Saccharomyces cerevisiae S288C: one gene and its partner. The gene in region 1 interacts genetically with each later gene. Each region holds a gene or a part of one and is shown in the gene's direction. Other genes may lie near its edges. The genes, in order: MEF1 and KAP120.

Region 1 (7,218 bases):
TGTTTTGCATAACGGCCGTGATAAAATTCAATTTCACATTCATTTTGCAGACGTAGCACACATAACCACGAAATCTCCCGCCTATCCAATGATGCATCAAGTGAGAAATCAAGTATTTATGCTGGATACTAAGAGATTAGGTACCCCAGAATCTGTCAAACCCGCAAACGCATCACATGCCATTCGTTTGGGCAATGGCGTGGCTTGCGATCCCAGTGAGATAGAGCCTATCCTAATGGAAATCCATAATATCCTCAAAGTGGACTCGAACTCAAGTTCATCTTAGAGCGAATAAAATGTCACCGGCGCTACTATCCCTTAGGAGATTGTAACCCCTCTCCTGAATTAATTCAAAATAAAATTGAAAACTGTATAAGTATATACATAAATATATCCATACACACTAAAAAGACATATTCATACTGCCTTGAGGATAGAGAACACCATTGAGCATGACTGACTTAACTACACAAGAAGCTATTGTTCTAGAGCGACCTGGTAAAATCACCCTAACTAATGTCAGCATCCCAAAGATTTCAGATCCTAACGAAGTAATCATCCAGATCAAGGCGACAGGAATATGCGGGTCAGATATCCATTACTATACCCATGGAAGAATAGCCAATTACGTGGTAGAATCACCAATGGTGCTGGGACATGAATCATCAGGAATAGTGGCCCTCATAGGTGAGAACGTCAAGACACTTAAAGTAGGAGATAGGGTGGCACTTGAGCCCGGAATACCTGACAGGTTTTCACCGGAGATGAAAGAGGGCAGATACAACCTGGACCCCAATTTAAAATTTGCTGCGACACCTCCCTTTGATGGGACCTTGACAAAGTATTATAAGACCATGAAAGATTTCGTCTATAAACTTCCTGATGATGTGTCATTCGAGGAAGGAGCACTAATAGAGCCATTATCAGTGGCAATCCATGCTAATAAATTAGCAAAGATCAAGTTTGGAGCCCGTTGCGTCGTCTTTGGAGCTGGGCCCATAGGTTTGCTAGCCGGGAAAGTAGCCAGTGTCTTTGGTGCTGCAGATGTTGTTTTTGTAGATCTATTAGAAAACAAGCTGGAAACGGCTAGGCAGTTTGGTGCCACCCACATCGTCAACTCAGGTGATCTCCCACATGGCGTTACTGTAGATAGTGTTATAAAAAAAGCAATCGGCAAGAAAGGTGCTGACGTTGTGTTTGAATGTTCTGGTGCAGAGCCTTGCGTTCGAGCAGGCATCGAAGTCTGTAAGGCAGGTGGAACGATCGTTCAAGTTGGAATGGGACAAGAGGAAATACAATTTCCCATCTCGATCATTCCAACAAAAGAACTGACATTCCAAGGCTGTTTCCGATACTGTCAAGGTGATTATAGTGACTCCATCGAGCTAGTCTCTAGCAGAAAACTCTCGCTTAAACCATTCATTACACATCGCTATAGCTTTAAGGATGCTGTCGAGGCATTCGAAGAAACAAGCCACCACCCGTTAAATAATATCAAGACGATCATTGAGGGCCCGGAATGAAGGAAAGAAAATGTAACTTTTGGCATCCAAGATGCACAATACATTTGATTTTTTTTATATGTCTTTTATATATATATATATTAATATGATAACTTTGCATTATTATTGTGGGGATGGAACTTCACAAGCGGCCGAAATTTCCAAGATGAAAATATCTAAAAAACGAGATTTAATAAAGGAGATTGAAACGGAAGAAGGTAGAAAGCACTGCAATATATCACCAATATGAGTGTCCAGAAAATGATGTGGGTGCCTCGAAAAATGGTTGGAGGTAGAATACCCTTTTTCACATGTTCAAAAGTTTTTTCAGGTTTCTCGAGAAGGTCTTTTCATGAGAGTCCACTTGCTCGTTCTACATATGAAGAAGAAAAAGTTTTGGTGGATGAAATCAAACAAAAACTTACTCCAGACGATATTGGAAGATGTAATAAATTGCGTAACATAGGTATATCTGCTCATATTGACTCCGGAAAAACTACTTTCACTGAACGTGTTCTGTACTATACAAAAAGAATCAAAGCCATTCATGAGGTTCGTGGTAGGGATAATGTTGGAGCCAAGATGGATTCTATGGATCTTGAAAGGGAAAAGGGTATTACTATTCAGTCTGCCGCTACTTACTGCTCTTGGGATAAAGAGGGCAAAAACTATCATTTCAACTTGATCGACACTCCAGGTCATATTGATTTCACTATCGAAGTGGAGCGTGCTCTTAGAGTACTAGACGGTGCAGTTCTTGTTGTTTGTGCTGTTTCAGGTGTTCAATCCCAAACTGTGACCGTGGATCGTCAAATGCGTAGATATAATGTTCCAAGAGTAACTTTCATCAACAAAATGGATCGTATGGGTTCAGATCCCTTCCGTGCAATAGAACAACTTAATTCGAAACTAAAAATACCTGCTGCTGCTGTACAAATTCCTATCGGATCGGAATCAAGCTTATCTGGTGTCGTTGATTTGATTAATAGAGTTGCTATTTACAACAAGGGTGATAATGGTGAAATTATAGAAAAAGGGCCAGTGCCTGAAAATTTGAAGCCATTAATGGAGGAAAAAAGACAACTTTTGATCGAAACACTTGCTGATGTGGATGATGAAATGGCAGAAATGTTTTTGGAAGAAAAGGAGCCTACCACGCAACAAATTAAAGATGCTATTCGCAGATCTACAATTGCTAGGTCTTTTACACCAGTTTTGATGGGATCCGCACTGGCAAATACTGGTATTCAGCCCGTTTTGGACGCTATTGTAGACTACTTACCTAATCCCTCTGAAGTGTTGAATACAGCTCTAGATGTGAGCAACAACGAAGCCAAGGTTAACTTAGTTCCTGCGGTGCAACAGCCATTTGTTGGATTGGCATTCAAATTGGAAGAAGGCAAATATGGTCAATTGACTTATGTTCGCGTATATCAGGGGCGTTTAAGAAAAGGTAATTACATTACAAATGTAAAGACTGGTAAAAAAGTGAAGGTTGCAAGATTGGTCAGGATGCATTCTAGTGAGATGGAAGATGTTGATGAAGTTGGCTCAGGTGAAATTTGCGCTACTTTTGGTATTGACTGTGCTTCTGGAGATACATTCACTGATGGTAGCGTTCAATACTCTATGTCATCCATGTATGTTCCAGATGCTGTTGTCTCGTTATCGATTACGCCAAATTCAAAGGACGCATCGAATTTTTCGAAGGCTTTGAACAGATTTCAAAAGGAAGACCCTACATTCAGAGTGAAGTTCGATCCTGAATCTAAAGAAACAATTATTTCTGGGATGGGTGAATTGCATCTGGAGATTTACGTTGAAAGAATGAGACGTGAATATAATGTGGACTGTGTCACGGGTAAACCGCAGGTTTCCTATAGAGAATCTATCACCATCCCGGCAGATTTTGATTATACACATAAAAAACAATCTGGTGGCGCTGGTCAATATGGTAGAGTTATCGGTACCTTATCTCCCGTGGATGACATTACCAAAGGCAACATATTCGAGACCGCTATTGTTGGTGGCCGTATACCGGACAAGTATTTGGCTGCATGTGGTAAGGGTTTTGAAGAAGTATGTGAAAAGGGACCATTGATCGGTCATCGTGTTTTGGATGTTAAAATGCTAATCAATGATGGTGCTATTCATGCCGTGGATTCTAATGAATTATCATTCAAAACAGCTACTATGTCAGCCTTCCGTGACGCCTTCCTGAGGGCACAGCCGGTGATCATGGAACCTATCATGAATGTTTCAGTAACATCGCCAAACGAGTTTCAAGGTAACGTCATCGGTTTATTGAATAAATTACAAGCAGTAATACAGGATACCGAAAATGGTCATGATGAATTTACATTAAAAGCAGAATGTGCCTTGAGCACGATGTTCGGTTTCGCCACCTCATTAAGAGCCTCGACTCAAGGTAAAGGTGAGTTTTCATTAGAGTTTAGTCATTACGCTCCAACAGCGCCCCATGTTCAAAAAGAATTGATATCTGAGTTCCAAAAGAAGCAAGCGAAGAAATAGTCAAGTCCTCATGGGCAAAACAGTCTTGTAAATAACAAATTCCAATAAAAAGGAATTAACAAAAGGCAGGAAATAAAATTAATATACACACTAATTAAGTAAATTTAAATAAAAAGATCTTTCTGTAAATACACGAATGAAAAGAAATTTTGAAGAATATCATTATCTAGGAGGTATAAGTATCATCCGTCTTAATTTTATCCAAAAGATCCTCTATCTTAGGGCCCATCAAGGGCTGGCCTGTCCTTGTTCTTTGAGTCAATTTCTTCTTTCTATCTTCTCTCCTCTGAAATTTTTCCTTCGAAACTCTGATTCTTTCCAATTGCTCGTTTCTTTGCTTGTTTAATTCATCTTTTTGCATTCTCTTTCTTTGTTTCTTGATCTCCTTCTTCTCGTCTAGTTTCTTCTTTCCCTCTATTGCCCTGGCTTCCTTAATCTTCCTTACAGATTCTTTTGCCACGGTTTTTGGTTCCTTTTCTGGTACGGCATACCCTTCATCTTTTAAAGCTTTAAGGTATTCCTTTCTCAGTCTAGTTTTCTTTGTAATACTTCTTTGGATCTCCTTAACCTTATACTCCCTCGTAAACTTCTTTCTATTTTGATTTTGCTTGGCTGTACCCATATTGATTTTGCTCAGTTGCTTACTTGACCACCTTCCTGTATCATTCTTGTGAAAGCACTTTTAATACTATCGCGATGAGGTTTGATTTTGAAATTTTTCATTGTTTGAAGGAAAAGTAACTTTTCGGGCCAATAGAGAAATAAAAATAAAAAATCATGTAGTGTAAGTTAAAGTGGGATTTCTAGGTGACGCTAACGCAGCCTCGATACCCAGGAAAGAGGCCGCAATAGTGTACAAAGCTTCGAATTTAAGTGATTAAGGGTGTTGGAGTATACTGAAACACGCTTTTTGGCCATTATGAAAAGGTGTGCTCCTGCCGTATTAAGAAATTATAATTATAAGAAGGGTATATGGAGTACCGGCGTACCTGATCATATAAGGAAGCTGCTTCGAGATAAATCGACGTCACCATTATGCTCACAGGATGAGAGAAACCTGGTCTCATATTTTATGGCGCGCGGAAGTGTTCCTCTAAAGTCGGTTGGCAGTGGATTAACAAAGAAAGCAACAACATCAATAACAAGTAATTCAGCTACCACAACATTTGAACGACAGTACCTTATAAAGTATCTTTATCGGCACCAGGCCTATGGGAACGTTATAAAAATTGCACAGAAGTTTCTTTATACCACTATTGGTTCACAAAGATTGTTAAAACAGGATGCCTCATTACCTGAATTGAAAAAGTTCCTTCTCTCTTTATTGATTTTACAAAGAGGTATTCAATTAGATCAGGCAATCTCTGATATCATACAACGGTTTCTATTAACACAAAAGACAATGGTGATAGACCTCATTAACTCGATTTTCTCTAGGATGGTTATAATGAATATGCATGAAGAAGCTGTATATAAATGGGTCAAATGGATGAAACTAGTGAATGGACATTGTGAATTTACGAATTATATGGAGAACAAGATAGTTTTGAGAAACTTTTTATCATTCATGAGGCAATCAAATGTTCGCCCCGATTATTTATCTTATTTGAAAGCAATTCAGCTAACGCAAGGGCCCGCAATAGCGTCTCAATTTGCAACTACGTTGTTGTTCTTATTAACTTATATTAGGAAATTTTCTTCTGCAGAAGCAGTTTGGAATTACAAGTGCGAACATAACCTGCCGATAGTGAGTTCTGACCTGACGTGTATTCTAAAGACGTATTGTCACATGCAGAAGTTTAATTTGGTTTCGTCAACATATTGGAAATACCCTGATGCTCAGCACGACCAAAACCAATTTGATTATCTTTTGGTGGCTCATTCTAGGCTGCATAATTGGGACGCCTTACAACAACAGTTCAATGCTCTTTTCGGTATCGGTAAGCTACCTTCCATACAACATTATGGTATTTTGATGTATACTATGGCCAGAATTGGTGAATTGGATAGTGTCAATAAACTATATACACAGTTATTGAGGAGAGGTATGATACCGACATACGCTGTTTTACAATCTTTACTATATGCACATTATAAAGTCGGAGATTTCGCAGCCTGTTTTAGCCACTTCGAACTATTCAAGAAATACGACATAACGCCTTCAACAGCAACGCATACCATAATGCTTAAAGTGTATCGTGGTTTAAATGACCTTGATGGTGCGTTTAGGATATTAAAAAGACTAAGCGAGGATCCTAGCGTGGAAATCACGGAGGGGCACTTTGCTTTATTGATACAAATGTGTTGCAAAACTACGAACCATTTAATCGCTCAAGAATTATTCAACCTTATGACTGAACATTATAATATCCAACACACTGGAAAAAGTATCTCTGCATTGATGGATGTATATATTGAGAGTAACAGGCCAACAGAGGCAATAGCATTATTTGAAAAACATTCAAAGAATTTATCTTGGAGAGATGGTCTAATTTCAGTGTATAACAAAGCCATCAAAGCTTATATTGGTTTACGAAATGCCAACAAGTGTGAAGAACTTTTCGACAAGATCACAACCTCAAAACTGGCTGTAAACAGTGAATTTTACAAGATGATGATAAAATTTTTAGTTACACTGAACGAAGATTGCGAAACGGCATTGAGCATCATAGATCAACTAATAAAACATTCTGTAATCAAGGTGGACGCTACACATTTTGAAATAATAATGGAGGCATATGACAAAGAGGGTTATCGTGACGGTATAATTAACTTGTACAAGACAATGTCACAGAATAAGGTACCAGCGAATTCCAAAATTTTATATTATATATTGAAGGCCGTTGCCAAAAAAAGCCTACAAAATAATGAGGAAATCAAGGAAACGATTAATATGGTAGAAGACATCATGGAAAATGCTGCCAATGGAACTCTCGACGTTACGTATAACAAACTGCATCCCTCGGTCATGGCATGGCCAATGAGAATGATTGTGAAACATGATAGCCCACAGCGGGCTTTAGAGTTATACAACCGGTACAATGAGCTTTTCTTCAAAAAGCATGATTGGATATCAAATAATAATAAATTTGTGATGATGAGATCATTGTTGGTATTACTAGCTCAAATTGAACAATGGAAAGATTTCGAAACACTTTTCGCTAAATACATGGATCGTATTGAA
Region 2 (18,280 bases), on another chromosome or scaffold:
TCACGGTAAACTAACAGCACTGAAGGCAGGGACCAGTTGTACTTCCTCAGCGGCCCGGAACTTCTTTGGATCCTAGATTTTACCACGTCAAATGGTGTATTCAACAAGCACCCGACAGTGCCACCAATAGCACCTGCGATCAAATCATTTCTGGTCTTTTCCGTGCTTGTTTTAGCCGCCGGCAAAAGCTTCCGAATTTGGAATATTATACCGAAATAACCGGCATTCCAAAGAACGTGTCTCCAGATAGTGGCTTCCAACCCATTGAAAAGTGACAAAACACCACCTTTCACAACACTATTCTTTACAACTTCAATGGGTGTCTTGAACTGTGAATTCACATCCTGTAATCTAATCTTCACTAGTTCAAAAGGCGCGACGACAAAGGCTTCCACGGCGCCAGCGGACGCACCACTGTATATGGCGATTTTTTGAGTCATCTCCCCATTGGGCGTGGGGAAAATCTTTTTATAAAACGTTTGGAATGTATCGTTTCCGGAGAACTTAATTGCTCTTTTCGGAGCCTCCATTAATATAGGCGATGTGATACCCTTGTAAAGATGCGAAAATCCTTCCTTCTTCACAATTTTTGTAAGACAATCCATCACGCCCGTGTAGTGATCTACTGCTGCTTTCGCTGCAACAACAGCGGGATGACCTTTGGTTGTCACTTGTAATTGCATTCTTGTCTTCACCACGTCCAATGGATACATCACCAATAGCTCCGAGACGCCGGCAATGGCACCGGCTGTGAACTGGTATATGAACGGCAAAGGTCTATTATCTATAGATGTCATCTTACAGTTCTTTTTCTTTCACCCTCGTTACAGTTCTATCTTGAGAATAAATGAGATAAAGGTTCCCAAAAGTCACTGATATATATCAACGGCGGTCACCCTCACAGAAATACCCGAGAATCTGCCCTTCGCCAAATCAGATTCAGCCAGTTCGCAGTTTTTTTCCCTATCTCTGGTCGCCGCATTATGAAAAGATCCTGGGGTAATAATGGGAATGATTTGAAAAAAAACAAATGCTGGTAGAAAAAGGTCTTCGTATTGCTCGTAGTAATACGGCTATTTCAAGTAACTGCTCGGGCCAGCGGCTTGAGGAAAAAGTAAACCCGTTACTTTGCTTTTTAATGACGCTGGAAATACCAATTACCTACTATGTATTACTTATGCTTATGACAAAGGGATGAAATTCCCGACGATGCAAATTGGGATGTTGTACCTATCCCTTCTGATAGTGAAACTAAAACAGCATGGCCGTTTGCGGATTCCATCTTTGGTTCGAAGACTACAACTTGTTAAAACAGCCTTCTGACCCTTATCAAACGCTATGGACCCGTATTTTTCCCAGAAATTCACAGCGCTTTCTTCTGTCATCAACTCGTAGATCGCAAGCTTTCCATCGCGTAAATCATCGACTGTGCAGTCAACCAGTGAAGCAAACTCTTTATTGGCTCTGTAAATCTCACCGGTACGCCTACACAAGCACGCTGGCATGCTCATAGAGGTGAAAACACGATCATAAGATAATAACATCCTCTCGAAGCTCTCCTCCACTAAAACTAAGTCAACATCCTTCAATGAACGCGCAATGGTTCTAAACGCCGGTCTAATGGTGGATAGTGGTTTCAGAATCCTTTGCTTGGAAGACTGATTCATATATTTGTCCATGTAGTCTTGTAGTCTTGCATACCCCTTGGCATAATTATACGGCTTCAATAATCCTGCTTCAAGCTTCGCATTTATGACCAACTTCAGCCGGTGTTCTGGTGTCATCTCTGTTGACGGATCCGCCGCTGTTAAAAAGAATTGTTCCTTCGGTGTCGGTGCACTGTTTTCGTTTGCATTCGCTAGAATTCGAGACTCTTCCTTTTCTTGATCTTGTTTATCCCCTTTCGAGATACTATTGGAAGAACCTGACATAATAGTAGGCGACCTATTTTCTTGTCTTGCCACTCCTATTTCATCCCTACGATTGTCGTTTTGGTACTCTAATGGCGATTGTGTGGTTTGTGAGCCATTTTCCAAATGAACATTGCTCGCACTGCTGGAACTTAGTGATGTTTGAGTCAATAGAGGATTTTCTAGCATAGAAAGAAATTCATTCAAAGAACTGAATTCCGAACCAACATTCTCGGACACAAATACAGGTTGTTGCGGAAGCAGCAAGCTGGTTGTATCATTTACAAGAGAGGAGTCTAGTTTCGGTGACAGTTCCTCTCCATATGTGGATCCACTTTTATTGACTGGTTCATTCTGATAGTCAGACGGAATTCCAGTGTGTGCTTTATTTGCATATTTGCCCTGTATATTATTATCATTCGGAGAACTTTCGTGCTGTGATGGCATCTCATTTGGAACCGCAATATCATCTTCCCTGCATAAATGGGCAATATCCCTCTTGACGCACCTAGAACATGGACGTTGCTTATCACATACAACATGTGACCGTTTACAAAATAAACATGTTTTAAAAGCCTTACTGGCTCGTTTTACACCACTGTTTGCTGACATTATTTCGTCAGTTTATATAAATATGTGTATTTTGTGTTGATTAAAATTAAAAAAAACTTTATCTCACTGGCAAAGAACTCCCGCAAATTTTCTCATAAGAATTACTTTCTTCTTCCATCCCAGAGACCTCATCCTTTTTTCTAATATTCAACTATTTTTCATTTTCCTTCGTACTCTTTGTTTTGCTTTTTCTTGTTTTCTGCCATTCCAAAACATTATTCTCCCCATCTAAGGAGCGGATCTGTAGGAAAAACAGCGTAACCATTGGAAAACCCTTTCCCTAACCAATGCCCTTTGACGGATGAAACATGATATATCTTTTAAGGACATAGATACTAACCAATACAAATCAAAGAACAGTGAAGAGTCTAAAGGGGCAGCGAACGCTTAAGTATCTTCTTTAAAGTAATAATATTCCTGTCGCAGGTGAAATAGCACTTCAGCGCACAAACAAATAATATTGCAGCCAAAATTCCCTAATATTGTCATGATAAGAATATGTCCCATTGTTAGATCTAAGGTTCCACTGTTAGGAACTTTTCTTAGATCCGACTCATGGTTGGCACCTCATGCGCTAGCTCTAAGGCGGGCCATATGCAAAAACGTTGCATTGAGAAGTTATTCAGTGAACAGCGAACAACCAAAACATACATTTGATATTTCAAAACTTACTAGAAATGAAATCCAGCAATTGCGAGAGTTGAAAAGAGCAAGGGAGAGAAAATTTAAAGATCGTACGGTTGCATTTTATTTCAGCAGCGTCGCGGTACTTTTCTTGGGTTTGGCATATGCAGCGGTACCACTCTATAGAGCCATTTGTGCTCGTACTGGTTTTGGTGGGATTCCCATAACAGATAGAAGAAAATTTACCGACGATAAACTCATTCCTGTAGATACTGAGAAGAGAATTCGTATCTCATTCACCAGTGAAGTATCACAAATTTTACCGTGGAAATTCGTTCCTCAACAACGTGAGGTTTACGTTCTGCCTGGTGAAACAGCCCTCGCTTTTTATAAAGCCAAGAATTACAGCGATAAAGATATTATTGGTATGGCTACTTATAGCATAGCGCCTGGTGAAGCAGCTCAATACTTTAATAAAATCCAATGTTTTTGCTTTGAAGAACAAAAGCTAGCTGCCGGTGAAGAAATAGATATGCCTGTCTTCTTTTTTATCGATCCAGATTTTGCTAGCGATCCAGCGATGCGAAATATCGATGATATTATTTTACATTACACATTCTTCAGAGCTCATTATGGTGATGGTACAGCTGTAAGTGACTCTAAAAAGGAGCCTGAGATGAATGCAGATGAAAAAGCAGCGTCATTGGCTAATGCTGCTATTTTATCCCCAGAAGTTATAGACACAAGGAAAGACAACTCAAATTAATTGTAAATACAAAGTCATTCAATGTACATAAATACTGTTATGCTTTTGAATTAAGTAAAACACCATGACTTCATATTGAGATGTTTTAAGCATATAATCACGGCACCGAACTTCTTGTAATCATCAAATCTTTGTTTTCTAGCCGTCATAGAAATGAAGAAATGAAGATTCTTGTTCATGTGATACAGCTTTTCTAGACAGCTAACTTGTACATCCAGACATCCTAAAACACCCATAAAGCAAAAAAAATTATTGAAATATTCTCTTTTTTTTCTTTTTTTTTTTTCTGGTGGCTTTCAATGCGGAATCGCTCACATCCGAAAATTTCAGAGGCTTCACTTAGCGTCGCAGATCCCAGTAGTCGCCAGATGCTTTGAAAAAAAAAAAAATAAATAGAAAAGTTTGTAGACATATCCGATGTAGTATATTTCAGAGGCCAACCTTTACTTTTGTTTTCTCCTACACTTCAAAATAAAAGACACCGTCACAAATCTCAGCAACAATGGCTTTCCAAAAAGACGCTAAGTCCTCTGCTTACTCCTCTCGTTTCCAAACTCCTTTCAGAAGAAGAAGAGAAGGTAAGACTGATTACTACCAAAGAAAGAGATTGGTCACCCAACACAAGGCCAAGTACAACACTCCAAAGTACAGATTGGTTGTTAGATTCACTAACAAGGATATCATCTGTCAAATCATCTCTTCTACCATCACTGGTGATGTCGTCTTAGCTGCTGCCTACTCCCACGAATTGCCAAGATACGGTATTACCCACGGTTTGACCAACTGGGCTGCTGCTTACGCTACTGGTTTGTTGATCGCCAGAAGAACCTTGCAAAAGTTGGGTTTGGACGAAACTTACAAGGGTGTTGAAGAAGTTGAAGGTGAATACGAATTGACCGAAGCTGTTGAAGATGGTCCACGTCCATTCAAGGTCTTCTTGGATATTGGTTTGCAAAGAACCACCACTGGTGCCAGAGTTTTCGGTGCTCTAAAGGGTGCTTCTGACGGTGGTTTGTACGTTCCTCACTCCGAAAACAGATTCCCAGGTTGGGACTTCGAAACCGAAGAAATTGACCCAGAATTATTGAGATCTTACATCTTTGGTGGCCACGTTTCCCAATACATGGAAGAATTAGCTGACGATGATGAAGAAAGATTCTCTGAATTATTCAAGGGTTACCTAGCTGACGACATTGATGCTGACTCTTTGGAAGACATCTACACTTCTGCTCACGAAGCTATCAGAGCTGACCCAGCTTTCAAGCCAACTGAAAAGAAATTCACCAAGGAACAATACGCTGCTGAATCCAAGAAGTACAGACAAACCAAATTGTCCAAGGAAGAAAGAGCTGCTCGTGTTGCTGCCAAGATCGCTGCTTTGGCTGGTCAACAATAAATTATGGATATATAACGTCATTTTGAGATATTTTAAATAAAGCTATCTTCACATAACCTTTGTATTCATTTTTAGTTAACTCATTTACATCATCCACTTACTACATTTGTATTTTTTTTACGATTTGCGTACCGCCTCATTACTACCCTTTTTTTGCACTGCAGTAATAGTACACTCAAATCATGATGAAAAGAGAAAAGAAAAAAATGCCACAAAAAGTAGTTGATTTTATAAAAGTTATCATCCAATTTTAGGTAATTTTATTCTCTTTATGTAACGAACATATGAAGATTTCTTCTCTAGAATGGCATTCTAACTAAGTCCGTGCCATAAAATCATCACTAACAAATATAAGATCACGCTATACTATCAATGAAGAAACAAATATTAATAGTTGCTGCACAAAGTATTTTATGTTCTACTGTTTTTGGCGAGCGAAGTAATGTAGGCCTTTCCACTGAAGAGCTAGGAGGTGACTCAATTTTATACTTCAATGAAGACCCTATAGTGATTGAAATCGATAAGAAAGCTATTGACAAGAAGACTTTGGAACAGTTGGCAAGCACAAGAGATGTTGTTCTTACTGATTTACCGGACACTCTTGAGTTTATAGACTTCAACGAGTACGCGAAAATGAAGTCAAAATCAGATATGCTACTAGAGTATATCAACGAATACGAATTTGATGATTTTGAAAGAAGTTCTGAAGGCGGTCTTGAAGAAGAAGAAGAAGAGGATTTAATTTATGACTTCAATGCCCAAGCTGAAGATTTGGGTAAGCTTGGTTCAAATATATATGAAGTAGTCGAAGAAAAGAATATTGTTAATACTTACGATGGAAACCTTATCAATGCAAGTACAACTGAATCAACGACTACTATTCGGCCTTTCGTGACTTCTCACTCCTACGTTGCTTCTTCTACACCTTATTCGAATATTTCATCATTGAATGAGGACTACGATAATGCGAGCAACTTTTTGACTCCTACAACAGTGGCTCTTGCGGTACTTTTAACCATTTTATTATTTATACAGGCGTATTAATAGATCATTATTTTATTTAAATAAGAAATATTGTTGGCTAGCTTTCCTGTTTTATTTACTGTCACTTTTTAAAATCACTCAAGACGAGAAAGCTCTTTAGCAAAGTACTGACAAAAAACTTGAAGTTTGAACTTGTTACAGTATTACACGTCAAGGCTGTAGTGCGGTGAAAAAAAAAGAATATACCGTAATTTTTCTCCTTCGTGACCTCGGAGCTGACTGATATTAGATAACTAATCATGGTAGCTGTATGTTCGTTAATCTCTTTTAGCCACCCACCCATATGCTTTTTGTTTTGTTAGCTAAAATAATACTAACTTACGACTCTATTCTCATCATTAAATAACCAACAGACAGTAAAAAGAACCATCCGTATAAAAACCCAACAACACATTCTGCCAGAAGTGCCACCAGTAGAGAATTTTCCTGTTCGTCAATGGAGTATAGAAATTGTATTATTGGATGATGAAGGAAAAGAAATTCCCGCTACAATTTTTGACAAAGTTATTTACCACTTGCACCCAACTTTCGCCAATCCTAACAGGACATTTACTGACCCACCATTTAGAATTGAGGAACAAGGTTGGGGTGGATTTCCTTTAGATATAAGCGTTTTCTTGTTGGAAAAAGCAGGTGAGCGGAAAATACCACACGATTTGAACTTTCTACAAGAGAGTTATGAAGTGGAGCACGTTATCCAGATTCCTCTCAATAAACCACTTTTAACAGAAGAACTTGCGAAAAGTGGATCTACTGAAGAAACGACGGCCAATACAGGCACCATTGGGAAAAGAAGGACTACCACGAACACAACTGCAGAACCAAAGGCGAAGAGAGCTAAGACGGGCAGTGCATCTACCGTGAAAGGGAGCGTGGACCTAGAAAAATTAGCGTTCGGATTGACTAAACTAAATGAAGATGACCTGGTTGGTGTTGTTCAAATGGTTACCGACAATAAAACACCAGAAATGAACGTGACGAATAATGTTGAAGAGGGTGAATTTATAATTGACTTGTATAGTTTACCTGAGGGATTATTGAAAAGTCTATGGGACTACGTTAAGAAAAATACCGAGTAATAAAAGGTAAAAGGGCGTTAAATGCGCGCTTTTATGTTTGTATAAATAAAACACGTTGATATTTTGTCTTATATAAACTTTATTCCAATAACCGCGACACCTTACCAAACACATATTATTACAACACATTTTTATCTTGGATTTTAAGTAATTATACAACAGTTTTCATTTTAGAAAATGAGAACATCAAATATATACATTCCAATGTAATAGAAAATGGAAAAGAAAAAAGAATAAAAAGAAAAACACGAGGGGACCAGGTTGCTAGAAGATAGGGTGACCACGTCAAAAGAATATACCTAGGGAACCAAACAATGCGAAGTTAACAACCCATCAAAGTATTTTTAATAGTGAGTGGTTCAATAGAAAATTAGAAGTCTGTTCATTTAAGCGCGCTACATCCCATCTTCTAAATGAGGATCAAAACCTGTATTGTCCGATGTACTATTGCCAAAAAGTCCGTTAGATGGCATATTATCACTATTTTGCCCATGTGAATCCTCTTGATGAGTTTGAGTGTCTTCAGTAGCAGATGCAGCTGATGAAGGATGCTGAGATAAATTTTGTTCCATAATAGTTGACGAATTTGGAGATTGAGAGAATTTTTTCTTTGCCTTGTAGATTTTCTCCAAGTTACCGGTCACTTTTATCAAATAGTCAGGCAATGGTTTGCCACTCTTCAAGTATTGTAATTTCCAATTACGGGCTTTATCTTTCAGTTGTACCTGCGTCCTGTTCTTCAAATTTTCCGTGATTTTACCACCGGGACCATATAAATCTAGAATCTTAGACCACGATGGGCCAACCTCTTTCAGGCCTTCCACTAATGCTTCTTCTTCCTCTTTGGACCAAGTTCTTTTCGCCTTTGGTTTTCTTAATCCGATACTACCATTATTGTTGCTGTTACTGCTGTTGTTATGAGAGGAATGAGGACCAGAGCTGCTGTTGCTCATCGAGGCCGCAACAGCGGCATCCACAATGGATTGTGTGATAGCGGGGTTTTTGGAAGACACATCTGTGGTAGGTGTATGTGTGCTGTAATGATTCGGACGAGCAGTTGACAAAAAAGCAGACGCACTGCTTGGCTGATTTTGGTCGTCCATGAATTCTACGGTCCTGGTCCCTGTAGAAAAGAGTACTTGAGGATCAAACTCGTTGACATCAAAGTCATATAATGGTGATTTTCCGCGACCCTTTCTGCCCCATATGATGAGACCCATATTTTTATTACAATAATCCAGCAACTCTCTGATAAATTGAGCCCATTCGTAGCTCTGGGTCAGAGAGTTAAAATCTTGGACGATCTTTAAATTTTCTCTCCGACGATCGCACCTTTCGACGAAGTCCTTCTCCGATGGAGTCAAAAGTGTAATGTCTCCAGAATCGCCGGTTCTTCTCTGCACGAGAATATCAGCCAGATTGGATGGGAAGATTAAGTCTAGTAGCTCTTGTTTCTTTTCTAAAGAAATTTCGTTCGTCTCGTCCTGAAACTCTTTCAAGCCGGCAATGTAAGCCTGTGTTTTCAGATCAAGATATAGGATAGCCTGCGATTTCAAAAACTTTCCGCTTTGTTCCAGGGAGTTGTTACCGACAGTGTTTGTATTTGGACAGAAAATATCGAGAAATATCGACTGTAGCAGCTCAAACCCGTAATTAAGGCAGTTCAGCGACGTCAATAGAAATGTTAGCAGATTCGCCTTTCTTATGGCAGTAATAATAAACGCTTCGTGGCCTCTCAATATAAGGGGGGGAGGGGAGTTGGGAAACCATAAACCAGGCGCCACGTCGTGAACAGACAGTAACGGAGATCTGGTGTGGTAAATCATTCTGATCTGCTTAAAGAGCTTGACTAACGTTTGAAAAATTTCTGTTTCGCCTGAGCTTAGGAAAGCCGTCTGGTCCGTCAAAACCGCTATAATATTGGGAGAGTTGGCATTAAGGATAAGAAACCTCAGTAGTTGAGTGGAGATATTGTCCAGCAGACATAATGAGCATATGGTCAACCTAGTTCTTGCAGGCAGGCTTTGGATGATGTCATTGAAGCGGTTTAAGCTTTCGTTATTATTGGGCACTTGCGAATCCATGACAAATGGGGAAAGAAGTGAGTAAAGAAAAACTAATGTAAAATGATTTCTGTCGCAGATGGGACAGCCACAATCTTAAATGTTGGCAAGGATATAGGAGCAAAACGCCAATATTGAGATGATTGTTTATTATAATGTTTACAAGGAAGGGCAAAGCATTGAGGAAAATTAGTCGGAATGAGGTCTCGCCGGGCTTCTACGGAAAGGGGCGAAAATTAATAGGGCACGGTGCAGAATATTAGGGCTTCAAATGTTCAGATTTTAAAGCCTTTTCTTCAAATACAATAATTAATTTTACACACTGTACCTTGCATATATAAGAGAAGAGAAATTTATAAACAGTATAGTTAGTTAGTTAAGAATGGAATTTGAATAAAATCATAAAGGAGATATTTACCGAATAAGTAACAAATAGAGAAGGGAGAGATTAAAAAATGAAAATTTACAGTACCGCCAACAAACACTTGAATAAGATTGAAAATTAGAGAGAAAAAAATTTAGAAATAATACAAAATACTAATAGTGATGGGACACAAAAATGAAGAAAGAAAATAGGTTTGATAGTATTGCTATCACCATTGACATTCTCGTTTGGATATTCACTTTTTACGTGGAGAGTTTGACCTTCTTCTTGTTTAGTTTAATAATGCCGGAGGGGCCCTTTGGTTGCACTAACTCGCCGTTTTCAACACATTTCTTGATAGCGCTATTGAACAGATAGTCAAAATTTGAGCTTGTTTTCAACTTGGAGGAGAAAGTGTCCTTGACATACTTCTTTAAAACGATACGGCTGGAGCCCTTACCGTCATTAAGTTGAGGCATGCTTTTAAGGATCATTTCCTTGTAGGTCAATGAAGAAGGCGAAGAGGCCTTCTTGGCGGTAACAGTAGGCGATTTTTTTTTCACTACTTTCTTTGGCGCTAGCTTCGTGGATGCGGCTTTCGCTTTTGATGCGGTTGCACTCACAGAAGTGGCGGCTTGCTTGGGTTTTGGACTGACCTCTTTTTCTTTCTTTACTTCTGGAGATTTCTTCTTGGCCAGTTTCACAGCACCAGCGGGTCCCTTTGGCTGTTCAAAATCGCCGGCCTCCACACCCTTCTTTATGGCATTGTTGAAGTACAAATCAAAGTTGCTTGCGGATCCGACGATCGGGTAGTTTTCCTTGATAAACTTCTTGAGTGCCGGACGACTGGATCCCTTACGTTCCTTCAAAGCCGTGAGCCCTTCAATGATCAACTCCCTGTAACTCTTGGAGGAAGCTTCCTCCTTTTTTGCCGTGGTTTTCTTGATAGCGGCCTTGGAAGTTGATTTCTCCTTGCCTTTGCTGGTTGCAGGCTTCTTGCCCTTACTTGTGGTCTTGGTAGTGGATTTCTTGGGTGCCATGTTGCTTTAGTTGTATTATAATTGCTTCCCTCGCTGCCAAGCATTATCAGGTGCCCATAAATAACAACTCCCCAAATCTATAGTTGCTCCTCCTCTTTAAATAAAGGCAGATAAACAAAAAACTTTGACCGCCCGCTTTTCCACACAAAAAACAAACAACAGCAGAAAACGCGACGCGAAAATGAAAAGCCAAAGAGAACAAACAAAAATCATCCATCAAACCTGTTATTGTGCAGAATAGCTTTTACCTAGACGCAAGTCCCTAGGAGGGGGCATTTTTGACACAGAATAGCATTTCATCAAAGCAAACAGCAACTTCTTGGAGATTTGTATTGCTTGGCATGTCAAAATCTAGCGGTCACATCAGTAGGGTAACAAAATAGCACGTCAGGGTTAAGGCGGCCTACTGCTTAGGGTACGTGGTAAGTGATGTAAAATGTGAGAAGGAGAAACTAGAAAAAAATTTTCCTTTCTTTTTCCTAGCGATGAGATGAGATGAAATTTTTCGAACAAATGATTTTTGGCACAGTTTACATATCAGTTATATTGGCTGTCGTCACAGGAACTACAAGTACAAACCAGAACCATTTTAGCTGATCACCAGAATGACGCAATCCCTAGGTATCGAACAGTATAAACTGTCAGTCGTATCTGGTGGGAAACCCGCTTTGAATAATCTCAGTTCAGTAACCGGCAATAAGAATATCGCCCGCCTATCACAAGACCAACGAAACTATATTATACCCTTTAACAATCAGATCAAGGTGTATTCTGTGGAAACTAGACAATGTGTTAAGACTCTAAAGTTTGCAAATAACTCCTTGTTATCCGGAATATTTCTGCAAGAAGAAGAGAATAATGAATCGATTGTAAAGATTCTGCTGGGTGATATAACCGTTCCGCAACAAGAAGACGCTCATCTGATTACCGTATTCACCAATAATGGTCATGTAATTGTTTTAAATTATAAGGGGAAGCTGGTCGAGTCCCCTAAGCATTTCAAAATCTCTTTGGCAGATGAAAAGCTTGCAAATGTTTTCCATAGCGAGGGCAACTATAGAATTTTGACAACGTTCAAGGACCCTAGTCAAAAGGCACATAACTCTTTGCAATCGTACAGGTTATATGCATTAACCTTTGACGATGCTAAAAAGCAATTTGAAGTGGCTCATCAGGCAGAATGGCACAACGTTATCTTGTCAAATATTTCTTCCAATGGTAAACTGCTAGCGCATATGTGCAAAGACGTCTCAACAAAAGATCACGAACACAAATCCATCTCAGTTGTTTCGCTTTTTGATGATTCTGTAAATTTAAGCTTTCCCCTCGGTTCCATCCTTTCTTCACAGACTCAATCCCTATCCTATAACACAAGGTACGTTTCTAGCATGGCCATAGACAATATGGGTCAACAACTGGCTGTTGGATTTGCCTCCGGAGTTATAAGTATCGTAAGCCTGGCCGATCTACAAATAAGACTGCTCAAATGGCATATAGACTCTGTGCTGTCACTCTCATTCTCTCACGATGGATCCTATTTGCTATCTGGTGGTTGGGAAAAAGTTATGAGTTTATGGCAATTGGAAACAAACTCTCAACAATTCCTGCCTCGTTTGAACGGTATTATAATCGACTGTCAGGTATTGGGACCTCAAGGGAACTACTACTCTTTAATCCTACAAATGACTGAAAACAATTCAAATTCTGACTACCAATTTTTACTTTTGAATGCTTCTGATTTGACCTCCAAATTGTCGATTAACGGGCCATTACCGGTGTTCAATAGCACCATAAAACACATTCAGCAACCAATCTCGGCCATGAATACCAAGAACTCCAACTCAATTACCTCTCTCAATCACTCTAAGAAGAAACAATCTAGAAAACTAATTAAATCGAGAAGACAAGATTTCACCACTAATGTAGAAATAAACCCTATTAACAAGAACTTGTATTTCCCACACATTTCTGCTGTTCAAATTTTTGACTTCTATAAAAATGAGCAAGTTAACTATCAGTATTTAACATCAGGTGTCAACAATTCTATGGGTAAAGTTAGATTTGAACTGAATTTACAAGACCCAATAATAACTGATTTGAAGTTCACCAAAGATGGGCAATGGATGATTACATACGAAATTGAGTATCCGCCAAATGACCTCTTATCTTCCAAGGACTTAACTCATATCTTGAAATTTTGGACCAAAAACGATAATGAGACAAATTGGAATTTGAAAACGAAAGTAATAAATCCACACGGGATAAGTGTCCCAATTACCAAGATATTGCCTTCACCAAGATCAGTTAATAATAGTCAAGGCTGTTTAACGGCTGACAACAACGGTGGACTGAAATTTTGGTCCTTCGACTCTCATGAGAGCAACTGGTGCTTGAAAAAAATTTCTTTACCAAACTTTAATCATTTCAGTAACTCCGTTTCTTTAGCTTGGTCTCAAGACGGGTCTCTAATATTCCATGGTTTCGATGACAAGTTGCAAATTTTAGATTTCGACACTTTTAAAAAGTTTGAATCATTGGAAAATACAAAGACGGTCAGTGAGTTCACGTTAGACTCTGAAATCCAAACCGTCAAGTTGATTAATGACACAAATTTAATAGTGGCCACCAGGACTACATTAAACGCCATCAACTTATTGCGGGGTCAAGTCATAAATAGTTTTGACTTATATCCGTTTGTTAACGGAGTGTATAAAAATGGTCACATGGATAGGCTTATTACTTGTGACGAAAGGACAGGCAACATTGCCCTGGTTATAAATCAACAACTAACTGATCTCGATGGCGTACCAACTATCAATTACAAATCCCGTATTATTATATTCGATTCTGACTTATCTACAAAATTGGGTAATTTTACGCATCATGAATACATATCTTGGATTGGTTGGAATTATGATACTGATTTCATATTTTTGGACATAGAATCAACACTAGGTGTTGTCGGAACCACTGTGAATACTCAACTATCTGATGAAGTTAATAACGAAGGAATATTGGATGGCCTGGTAAGTAACACCATCACAACTTCGGCATCCAATAGCGATATTTTTGCAGAACAATTGCATAAACTGTCGTCTAGGGGCAAAAAAAGTGACACTAGAGATAAAAATACCAATGATAACGACGAAGATGAAGAAGATATCGCTTTGGAATTTATAAATGGCGAAAAGAAAGATAAGCTAGTCAATATGAATAGTTTTACGAGCATGTTTGACAACATTCAAAACGTGCAAATGGATACATTTTTTGATCGTGTGATGAAAGTATTAACATAGCTTTAGGGTTCTTCCATTGGATATCCAAAATAGATATAAAGGTATATATATATATATATATATATATATGTTTATAAAGCAAACCGAAAGCAAAAATATCTGTATAACTTAGTTACAAGGGAAGGGAAGAGAATGCATTGGTTAATAGGAACAGACACTTCGTAAAAAGCTTCACAATCATTAATGTTAATAGAACTATCATAATATACAAAAAATCTCTTCATACGATTTTTGTTTGATGAGCATCCTCAGTCAAGATGAATAAAATAATCTCTCCAAATAAGCCGCCTCTTTTTTTTTGAATTACACTTCTATAGCGTACATTTCCATGTAAGAAGATTGAAGTTTCAAACAATTGGGTAGCTTAATATTTGTCAAACTTCTTGGTAGGTGTTGTGTTTAAGAAAAAGGAGGCACCATAAACTATTAACTTTTTAGCTTGCCTCAACTGTCAACCGAATCAAATTTTAAAAGGCGTTAAACAAAAATGGCCTCGTCTCTTAACGAGTTAAACTTGGTTCAAGTACTTGAACAAGCAAGTAACCCACAACATATTAGGTCAGATGTTCAAAAATTAGCCGAACAACAACTAAGACAATGGGAGACTCAAGCGGGATTTCATTACTTATTACAGTCAATCTACCTTAATTTATCTAATTCTTTACAAATTAGATGGTTGGCGGTAATTCAATTTAAGAACGGCGTGGATAAATACTGGAGATCCACTAGAATTAACGCTATACCTAAAGATGAAAAAGCCTCGATAAGAGGTCGTCTTTTTGAAATGATCGATGAACAGAATAATCAACTTTGTATTCAGAATGCCCAAGCTTCCGCAAGGATTGCAAGGCTAGATTTTCCCGTAGAGTGGCCAACCTTATTTGAGGATCTAGAAAACCTATTGAACGATGAGATCATCAGAAAAGATTCAGTTAAGATTTACAATATATTGATGCATATAAATCAAATCGTTAAAGTATTAGGTACTGCGAGAATAGGAAGGTGCCGACCCGCTATGCAAAGTAAAGTTCCTTTGATATTACCACTAATTGTCAGGATTTATTTACAATCATTTGAAGAATGGACGACATCCTCCAATCTCAACTACGAGGATCTTTCCAGTTTACAAGTTTCTTACCTAGCTTTGAAAGTGCTCAGAAGGATAATTTGTGAAGGATACGACCGCCCTCAAACCGATCAGTCTGTTTGCGATTTTATTAAACTATCCGTTTCACACTTTGAGATGTTAATTTCAAACCATGAAAACTTCAAAAAGTTTGATATTTACGAAAAGTTTATCAAATGCCTAGGAAAGTTATATTTCAATTTAGTCACTGGCTCTCCGGCTAATTTCATATTACTGCCATGCTCTACGCAAATTCTAATCACTTATACTAGGCTAATTTTCGATAAGGCCCCTAAAGTATATAGAGAGAATTCTGATGTCACGGGGGACTTTTGGGAACAGACTGCTATTAGAGGGCTTTTAATTTTGAAAAGGGTCATTAATTTCATTCACAAAAAGGGGGCAATTACGTTAAAAGCAAGAAGTGATAAACTAACCATAGATGCTTCTATCAACAAAATCAACACAGAATTTCTGAATGAGAATTTGATAACAAGGTTGGTTGACACTTTAATGGAATGGTACTTGAGGTTAAGACCAACTGAATTAGAAAATTGGTTTATGGATCCAGAAGAATGGATAAACGAACAAATGGCCACGAGTTACGAATATCAAATCAGACCATGTGCAGAGAACGTTTTTCAAGACTTAATGAATACTTTCTCTGAGCTGTTGGTTCCCTACCTGTTAAAGAAAATTGAAAATGATGCTTCAAAGCTATCAAACTCATTAGACGATTTTTTAAGGAAAGACGCAATTTATGCAAGTTTCCAATTAAGTGCATCCGCTGTTAGTGAAATGGTAGATTTTGACAGGTTACTAATTCAGGTTTTTTTACCAGAAGCTACAAATACAAACATATCAGGCGACGAATTAAGGATTATCAGAAGAAGAGTTGCTTTAATTATAAACGAATGGTCTACTGTGAAGTGTTCGGAAGAATCTAAAAGTTTATGTTACAAGTTATTTACAAACTTCCTGACAGATGAAGACGACAAAGTTGTTTTGTTAACCACAGTCCAGACTGTCAGAACCATGGTTGATGACTGGAACTTCAACAAGGATACTTTTCAGCCATTTTTAACTGAAAATGTTCATTTATTGTTGAGGAAAATTTTACCATCTGTGTCGTTAACCGAGACAAGGCTATATGTTTTAAACACCTTGAGCGATATCATAATTCAAACAAAACCTTTAATTAGCAGGGATCTATTAGTCGAAATTTTGCAAATCATACCAAACCTTTGGGAAATAGCAACAAATAATGCTAGTGAGGCTATTTTGGCAAACGCATTGTTAAGGTTATTGAGAAATTTGGTATCATCTTTGGGATCACAGTCACATTTAACGTGGGATATCGCCATACCTGTGGTTGCATTAGCCTGTGATCCCTCTTCTATGCAATATCAGTTGTTAAGCGAAGACGGGTATGAACTATGGGGCATGCTTCTTCAAAATTTTTCATCCCACGATCAAGAGTTTGACGATAAGTTCGTTGAATTGGTGCCATTTCTAAAGTATGGTATTGAGACACACACAGAGATTCTCCCAACTTTACTTGAAATTATCAAAAGTTATGCTCTGATTCTGAATCCTGTGGATTTTTTCTCTAACAACACATTTCAAGATATTTTTAAACAAATGTCTAAATATCTTTTAAAGTTAAGGGAAGATTCATTTCAGTTGGTTTTAGAAATCTGGGAAATTTTGATATTATCCAATGAGTCGGATTACGAAAATCTGTTATTGCAAAAATTCTATGAAACCGGAGTATTATCAGCATTATTCGATGCCATTTTCCTGGAAGAAGCTCCTTCATCTTATTTATGCTCGCAAATCATTCAAATCATCGCTAGAATATCCTACGTGAATCCAGACGCCTTAATGACTTTTTTAGCTACATATCATGACAATCTACCAACTTCTAACGAAAATGCACGCATGCCGGAATCAATAAGAAAAATTGTGTCTAAGGATCAGACGTATGATTCCGTTGTAAACAAGCTTTTAACCGGATGGATAGTATGTTTTAGAGATATCTTTGATCCTAAATTCAAAAAAGTTCACATATTAGGTATTTCAAGTTTACTAAGGACTGGTTTAGTTCCTATTTTGACTGAGTTTTCATCCATCGCATCTTTATGGATCGAAATGCTCGAAGAAATTAATGAAACTAATCGTGGGGATTGCGAAAAATACCACTTGAATGATATTGTTACAGAGCAATCAATTGCATTCCATCCTTTAACTGCCGAACAATTAAGATATCATCAATTATGCAAAAACAATGATCCAGTGCATAACATTAGTTTAAAAGATTTTATTTCCCAATCAATGGAATATCTAGAATCACATTTAGGAGTAGAAAGGTACCAAGAATTTTTGAAGACTATTAACCCTAGTTTACTAGAGAACTTACAAATGTTTTTATCCATCCAGCCTCAAGAGGCTCGTCCATGATAGTAATAAGTACTAAATAAAAGTAAAAAATTGTATATAGTTCGACTAACAACATTACAGTGGTATCTTTTGATCGCGCATTCTATACTTTTATTTTGCTACTAATTAGATGTCGCAGTTTTTTTTGTTTGCTTTTTGCGTAATACAAAAACAAACGCGAAAAGTGTTCATGTAATATAATGAAGTAAACCAAGTCTCACGGAATAAAATCACCTTCTTCCAATTTTGTAAAAGTTTAACCAAAGATCCAAAGTGGCTTGTAGGAATAATGGATTATAGTAACTTTGGAAACAGTGCCAGTAAAAAGTTTCAAGACGATACTCTAAACAGAGTAAGAAAAGAGCATGAAGAAGCCTTAAAAAAGTTGCGAGAAGAGAACTTCAGTTCAAACACGTCAGAATTGGGAAACAAGAAGCACTATAGAGCACAGGAAAGGATGAGTTCGCCATTACATAGATTGTCTCCCACAGGTAAATCAGACGATAGGAAAGTGAAGAGCC

Evidence for each region.
Region 2: mutations in MEF1 (region 1) and KAP120 together harm fitness less than expected from each alone (positive genetic interaction), as found in Saccharomyces cerevisiae (one large-scale study listed by BioGRID).

What each region holds. Positions count from the first base shown.
Region 1 is NC_001144.5:268,446-275,663, reverse strand, and holds MEF1 (Mef1p), read left to right. Parts: upstream 1-1,748; coding exon 1,749-4,034; downstream 4,035-7,218. Other genes in the region: RGR1 (Rgr1p), read left to right, coding at 1-286; D-xylulose reductase XYL2, read left to right, coding at 453-1,523; FYV7 (Fyv7p), read right to left, coding at 4,201-4,656; PET309 (Pet309p), read left to right, coding at 4,954-7,218. UniProt on the Saccharomyces cerevisiae protein: Mitochondrial GTPase that catalyzes the GTP-dependent ribosomal translocation step during translation elongation.
Region 2 is NC_001148.4:298,707-316,986, forward strand, and holds KAP120 (karyopherin KAP120), read left to right. Parts: upstream 1-14,681; coding exon 14,682-17,780; downstream 17,781-18,280. Other genes in the region: ODC1 (mitochondrial 2-oxodicarboxylate carrier), read right to left, coding at 1-797; gluconeogenesis transcription factor RDS2, read right to left, coding at 1,182-2,522; COX11 (Cox11p), read left to right, coding at 3,010-3,912; 60S ribosomal protein uL18 RPL5, read left to right, coding at 4,415-5,308; SPO19 (Spo19p), read left to right, coding at 5,681-6,352; TATA-binding protein-associated factor TAF14, read left to right, coding at 6,592-6,600, 6,706-7,431; TBF1 (Tbf1p), read right to left, coding at 7,827-9,515; HHO1 (histone H1), read right to left, coding at 10,122-10,898; NAN1 (Nan1p), read left to right, coding at 11,504-14,194; SPC29 (Spc29p), read left to right, coding at 18,049-18,280. UniProt on the Saccharomyces cerevisiae protein: Functions in nuclear protein import as nuclear transport receptor. Serves as receptor for nuclear localization signals (NLS) in cargo substrates.